2 linked regions of the Callithrix jacchus genome follow. The main gene of each other region encodes a partner of the protein of the gene in region 2 in a complex. Links are inferred from orthologs where the notes say so. Each region holds a gene or a part of one and is shown on either strand. Other genes may lie near its edges.

The links.
Region 1: the proteins of SYMPK (region 2) and SSU72 are in contact, whole or in part, in a crystal structure (PDB 4H3K), measured with the Homo sapiens proteins. The link is inferred for Callithrix jacchus from reciprocal best matches to the Homo sapiens genes SYMPK and SSU72. Residues at the interface, in NP_004810.2 of Homo sapiens: Val123, Lys127, Leu131, Gln135, Asp175, Asn176, Asp177, Gly178, Thr181, His182, Lys185, Glu188, Pro204, Arg205, Arg206, Gln207, Ser250, Ile251, Thr254, Thr255, Asn262, Ala290, Ser292, Gln293, Ser295, Ser296, Lys299, Asn300, Leu303, His304; in NP_054907.1 of Homo sapiens: Glu113, Tyr116, Asp117, Val120, Asn124, Glu127, Gln128, Glu129, Thr130, Cys131, Gln132, Pro133, His135, Asp167, Glu169, Asn170, Asp173, Gln177, Glu180, Thr186, Phe187, Leu188, His189, Thr190, Val191, Phe193.

Annotation. Positions count from the first base shown.
Region 1 is NC_133508.1:39,659,967-39,663,139, forward strand, and holds the end of SSU72 (RNA polymerase II subunit A C-terminal domain phosphatase SSU72), read right to left. Parts: intron 2,436-3,173; coding exon 2,317-2,435; intron 941-2,316; coding exon 839-940; 3' UTR 507-838; downstream 1-506. UniProt on the Homo sapiens protein: Protein phosphatase that catalyzes the dephosphorylation of the C-terminal domain of RNA polymerase II. Plays a role in RNA processing and termination. Plays a role in pre-mRNA polyadenylation via its interaction with SYMPK.
Region 2 is NC_133523.1:40,002,810-40,006,460, forward strand, and holds part of SYMPK (symplekin), read right to left. Parts: intron 2,388-3,651; coding exon 2,261-2,387; intron 1,545-2,260; coding exon 1,295-1,544; intron 1-1,294. UniProt on the Homo sapiens protein: Scaffold protein that functions as a component of a multimolecular complex involved in histone mRNA 3'-end processing. Specific component of the tight junction (TJ) plaque, but might not be an exclusively junctional component. May have a house-keeping rule.

The DNA of each region.
Region 1 (3,173 bases), on a different chromosome or scaffold from region 2:
GGGGGGCTCAGAGGGAAGGGACGGGGTGACCCCTGGAATCCTCAAGGGAGTCACCTGCCACTCAGAGGCCCAAGTGGTCACCACACTGCTATGGGACCAAACTCAACCAAAATCAGTGACCACGTCTCAGATACAGGAGCCCCCGCCACCTTGCAGCAGGAAGTTAGCTGGAAGCAGTGCCTGGGCCCAGCCTGGGGGCTGCAGTGCCATCCAGGCTCACTGCAGCTGACTCCGGGGCTCAAGTGATCCTCCTGGCTCAGCCTCCCTCGAAGGTGGCCTAGGGGACAGCCGACCAAGGTGGGGGGTCAGGGGAGGGGAGAGTTTCCATGCCGAGCTGGGACGTGGCTCCCCCACAGGTAGCAGTGCTGGTGGGAGCAGCTGGCTTCTACTTCAGGCAGCACAGGGCGGGGTCGGCCCAGGCTCCAGCCACCCCAGGTCTGAGCTACACCTCCCCAGCAGTGGTCGGAGGGCCAGGGTTGGGCCAGGAATTCACGACCAAGCACAGGTGACAGCAGCATCTATTTATTGGACAATTCCAGGTCATTGAACATCTCGTGGGTGGGAAGGGGGGAGGGAGCGGGTGCACGGGGACACGGGGACAGCAGGGAAGTTAACACAAACTGCTGTCTTTCCTCTTCGGTTAAAGAAAAAAACTATAATCAATATCCCACTAAAAAATGGGAAGGAAAAGACTTGATTGCTTTAATGTGGCATTTGGACCTCTCCTCCCGTGTCACATGCTACCGTTACCAGCAGAACACCTGTAAGTAAAAACAAACGTCAGGAAGGAAAAAGTATGAATAGAAGGAAGCTGGAGAGGGCAGCCGGGGCGCCCGGCTCAGTAGAAGCAGACAGTGTGCAGGAAGGTGCGCCCGCTCTTCTCCTCAAACTCCTGAAGTAGCTCGTCAATCTCGTTCTCCATGTCCTCCGTGTGCTGGATCTGCAAGGACAGGACCACCGTGAGGGCCTCGCCGGCCCTCCCGTCTGCTCCCAGGCAGCACCTGGATGACCAGGGAAACCCCCTCCTGGGCCAGGAAGCTGGGTGACAGACAGGTCCCCACCTGCACCGCTGCTGCTGCCTCACAAGGATGGCTGGAGGCTGCAAGGGCAGAGGTTCCTAGGAAGCCTCAGGCCTCACCTCCCCACTGGCCCCCACCGAGCCTGAAGCTGGGAGCAGGGAGCTGGATTCAGAGAGCAGACTGGGAAGCCGGGACCCAGGCCCAGGTCCACTCATGCACAGCACAGCCAGACAGCCTCACCGCAGCACTTCCCAAATGCCAGCAAGGACCCAGACCCGTGCCCTGTGGCAGGGGCAGCCCGGTCACTGGAGCATCCTGATCTCCACCTACCAGAGCCCCTGGCGGAGGCCTGCTGCCTGGAGTAAGCACCTTGGGCTCCTGAGCACACAGGCCTTGACCCTGGCTGCTTGTCATTTGCCATTGCCAGTGTCCCCTGGTCCCCAACCTTGGGCAGCACACAGTGCCTTTAAGTGAGGAGTGGCCTGCCTGTGACTCAGCTCTGGCCAACGTGACCGAGCAGAAATCGAGCAGCCACTTCTGGGATGAGACTTTTCCAGTGGCCTTCCCTCCTACCAGGCGGTCACCAGCACCATCCTTGGCACTCCAGCCATACTGGGCCGTGAGGCATGTGAGGACCAGAAACCATGCAGCACAGGCAGGCAGGAGCCCACGCCCTTGCGGCAGCCTCTCCCAGCGCAGGCAGCCTGGCTCGGGGCCTCCACACCGCACCATCTCCTCTCTCGTTCACAGATCCCAGAGGCAGAGGCGGGTCGGTGTGTGGGGCTCTCCCCAGCAGGCCCTCCCCTCACACCCCAGCACCTCAGCAAGGCAGCAGCGCAGCTGCAGAAGCCCTTGGGGTGCCCCCTGGCCCCTCAGGGTGTCTTGGGGAAGACAGGCATGCAAAAGGCTGAGTCCAGGGGCAGACTGTGGACATACAGCCCTTGGCAGCAGACGCCCTGGGAGCCTCCAGGCTCACGTGGGGCATACCTGCGACCGCACAGCATCCAGGAGCACCACTTGCCTGCTGGCTGAGGCGCGATGAGTCCACCCCAGGGAGGAGGCAGTGCCAGGCCCTAAGCTTGTGTTGGGCAGGTCACTGCGCTGCGTCTGTCAGCTGAGCAGAGGGCAAAGGGGGTCTCCTACTCCAAAGCTGGGGGACAGCTCTCTCTGAGCCGCCAGCAGGTACCCCAACACAGGTCAGCTGAGCAGGAGACCCCGCCCCAACAGCAGGGCCAGCCTCAGGCCTCACTGCCCCAGCAGAGCCTCTGCCCGGCACGGTGCCAGGCCCGGTACTCACACACTGGCAGAGCTCACAGATGAGAAATGCCCCCAGGGTGGCCTCCTCATGGTTGTCCTGGATGTCCACGTTGACCACGTGCACGGGCTGGCAGGTCTCCTGTTCTCTGGAATTCAGATCTGATTGGGACAAGGTGACACAGAGGTCAGAGGCTCCAGAACCAGGGAACAGGCAGTCAATGTGTCCCAGTCCCTAGCTCTGCCGGCCCCTGGCCCAGCCCTGGCGGTTTCTGGACTCTGGTTTGGGAGCTGAGTAAGGACTGAGCGTCAAACCTTGGTACGTCCCCAGCTCAGCACAAGGCGGCCTGTGCTTCCCCGCCCTCCCTGACCACAGGCCCGGCTCCACACAGGGTCCACTCGTGAAATATGGACCAGTGGCTCATGCCCATGATCCCAGCACTTTGGGAGGCCAAGGTGGGTGGATCACCTGAGGTCAGGACTTCAAGACCAGCCTGGCCAATATGGTGAAACCCCATCTCTACCAAAACTACAATAAATTAGCAAAGTGTGGTGGCAAGTGTCTGTAATCTCAGCTACTCAGGAGGCTGAGGCAGGAGAATCGCTTGAACCCCTCAGGTAGAGGTTGCAGTGAGCCGAGATTGCACCACTGAACTCCAGCCTGGGCGACAGAGATACACTCTGTCTCAAAAAAAACAAAAACAAACAAGAACCAGACCCCTGGAGCCCATGAGAGGCTGCAGCCAGCACAATGGTTCTGCTCCGACAGGCCTCAGAAGCAGAAAGCCCACAACCAGCGGCCTGGCCTGCCTTCCGCATGCTTGCACTCAGGCCTGACTGCCCCCTCCCCCAACTCCAGACAGGATGTGGCAGCCAGGGTGGGACCTTCAGGCGTGGGAC
Region 2 (3,651 bases):
TTGTTATTGCCTGTCTTTTTGATAAAAGTCACTTCAACTGGGGTGAGACAGTATCTCATTGTAGTTTTGATGTGAATGCCGCATTATTTGAAATAGTGCTTAAAAACCTAAATGGCCATCAACAGAGCATTATTACTTAATAGAATGTAATGTAACTATACTATGGAATATTGTGTAGCAACTGAACATGACTCTCACAGGGAAAGACGTCACTGATACTATTAAGTCATAAAGGTTGTCAAATAATACATTAAGAATAGCTAATATTTGTGGAATGTTTACTATTCCAGCCATATTAATTCACCAAATGCTCATACTTACATCCTAAATTAGATGCCATAGTAACGATCCCCAATCTACCGATGAGGACTCAGGCTCAGAGACAATAGGCTACATCCAATGGTGGAGCTGAGATTCAGACACAAGCCACCATACTCTAATGTCTCCCAGATGAAAACACAAACATGGCCTTGTTTTTGCAAACAGAAAAGCAAACAGATGCAGACACTATGCATATACACATACAAATATCTACATTTGCACGGGAAAGATCTGGAAGGAAATATATTCTTAACAGTGTTTATCTCTGGGAAGCAGGACTGAGGGAGAGGGTATTATTCCTCTATACTAACCCATATTGCTTGACACTGAGTGTATATATACTACCACTATTATTATTTTTTGAGATAGAGGCTTATTCTGTCACCCAGGCTGGAGTACACTGGCACAATCTTGGCTCACTGCAACCTGGTTCAAGCGATTCCCGTGCCTCAGCCTCCCAAGTAGCTGGAATTACAGGTGGCTGCCACCAGGCCTGGCTAATTTTTGTCTATTTAGTAGAGAAGGCGTTTCACGATGTTGGCCATGCTGGTCTCGAACTCCTGACCACAAATGATCGGCCTGCCTCAGCCTCTCAAAACGCTAGGACTACGTGCATGAGCCACCACACCTGGCCTATGTACTACTTTTATAATTTACTGTTAAGAAAATCGTAAAACTGGCTAGCATTGATTAGCTCACACTCATAAAACTTCACTACAAACCTGTGAAAGTAGTACTATGTTATTGTCTCCAGTTTCCAAAAAAGAAAATGAAGTACAGAGACAGGTAACTTGCCCAAGTTCATGATGAGCAATCAGGGCAGTTCTGATCTGAACACAGCATCAGGGCTCTTTACTTCTGCACACAGTTTCAGAAATGTAAAACCAAGAAAGATAAGGGGGAGCGGGAAAGGAGTGAAGGAGAGGAAGCTGGTGCAGGGCTATCAAGGGCACCAGCTGAAGGCAGCACTCACTGTACTGGATGTAGGGGTGGTCCCGAGGGATGCGGTCCAGGCTGATATCATGCTCCTGGCGTCGGGGTATCTCCGAGTCAGCCATTCGGGGTGACAGGGTGACAATGAGGCCCTCCACAAACTTGATGGCGTGGGTGCGGATGCCATCATTGTCAGAGTCCAACAGTAGGATGATGTCCCCTGCCATGGCAGATACCATGTCCCAGCAGGCCTCCTGCAGCTCGCTAATGACCCGTGACTTCACCATCCACTGCCAACAGACCCGGAAGGAAGAGAAGAGACAAAGAGGTGAAGACAATGCATCAATCACCACCACCCTCTACCAATACCCAGAGAACCATGGAGAACAGTTCCTGAGTTCCAGCTCTGCCCTAGCCCAGTGCTGAGTGATGCTGGAGACGGGACACAGTAGTGGCCAGGCCTTGCCCTGCCCACATGGGGATGCAGACAGCAACCACTCAGGGTGATGAAGGCTCAAGTCTTAACGTAAAGGAGTGACGATGCTGAGTTTACAAGATGGTGGTGATAAAACGGATTCACTCATTTTATTAATGCTAATGTACACCACAGCACAGTGTTTGCTTCCGCTCACAGTCCATAATCAACATTTATGTGATTCATTAATTAAGGTCTGCCTCCCTCCTTGGGTTACAAGCACTGTGAAGGTCCTAAGCTGTCTTTGTCACCGCTATGTCTCCAGCATCACCTAGCCCAGGGCTGAGCACAGAGAACATGCTCAGGGAACGTTTGTTGAGTGAATAAATGGCTGGATCAATGGAAGGAATGATATTTAAGTGCAAATTCCTGACCCAAGTGACATTAGAGCTCCATGTTGTCTGTTCCCACAGATCAACAGCACATCTTGCTCACAGAATCTGATTGGATGCTGGTTTTGAACCCCAACATATCCGTTTGTCAATGAGACCTATCAGGCAGGATGGCCCTGGGTGGGGAGGGGGCTCTCACCTGCAGGGCCACCTTGTAGAGCTGGGTCATGGTAAGGATGGCCTTCTTCACCACATTCACATTCTCGTCCCTCAAGAGCATGTTGAGGTTTGCAATGAGTTTCAGCAGTAACTCAATGTCTCGCTTACTGAGGGATGAAGAAAAAAAGGGGCAGGTGAGAGGAGCCTGAGGTTCAGGAGGAAAGGCAAATCAGGGGCCTGTTTCAGAGGACTGGAACGACACATCTAGAAGCTGGGAACGGTGTTTGGTGCCTCCAGAATGAGCCGCCCCTGAATCTAGAGTGGTCCTGCAACCCCAACTCCTTTGCTCTCTCAGGGGCCCGCTGTTCACATAAGGGACAGTAGGGCCAGACAACTGTGTGAACTTGGGCAATCGACTTCACCTCATTTACAAGAAGAATATCTATCTCAATTGTTTATGAAATTTTTTTTGGGAAAATTGCAACAATACATATAAAGTGCTCAGAAGAGTGCCTGACTGACATACAGAAATCACTCAGCAAATACCAGCCATCAGTACCTGAAAGCACTTTGTTTTATGTAATTACTAGTTTTGCTTGCCTCAGTCTGAGGGCTCAAAAAGTGGAGACCCTTTCCTAGCTTAGCAACAACCCCAGGAGGGTCACTTTCATTGAAAAAAATGAAGGGCCTCCAATAAATATCTGTTCAATGAATAAATAAGAGCTCAGCACGGAATTCAGAGCATACATTAAAATCCGAAAAATTAATTAAATCGGTCAAAAATATGAAACTTAGCTGTCAGCTACATGAAGGCAGGAATAACAGTGAGTTTTCCTCACTGCTGTACTACAGCCTAACATGAATGCCTGAAACAACAGCAGCCACGTGGCATATATTTGTTGAACAGACTTCTTACAAATTTAGAAAATTTACCACAAATTCTGCCAGTAAATGGGGAGACAGGATATTTGGGCTCTGGCATTCATTGCAGACATGAGTTAAAATTCCAGCCTTGGCCGGGTATGGTGGCTCATGTCTGTAATCTCAGCACTCTGGGAGCCCGAGCCAGGTGGATCACCTGAGGTCAGGAGTTTGAGACCAACCCGGCCAACATGGTGAAACACCCATCTCTACTAAAAATACAAAATTAGCAGGGCGTGATGGTGGGTGCCTGTAATCCCAGCTACTTGGGAGGCTGAGGCAGGAGAATTGCTTGAACCTGGGAAGGGGAGATGGCAGTGGGCAGCAATCGTGCCATTGCACCCCAACCTGGGCAACAAGAGTGAAACTCTATCTCAAAACAACAACAACAAACAAAAGAGCTGACTGTGGTGTCAGGTGCCCGTAATACCAGCTCCTCCAGGGGCTGAGGCACAAAAATCTCTTAGCCTGGAAGGCGGACGGTTGCAATGAGCCAAGATTGTGCCACCA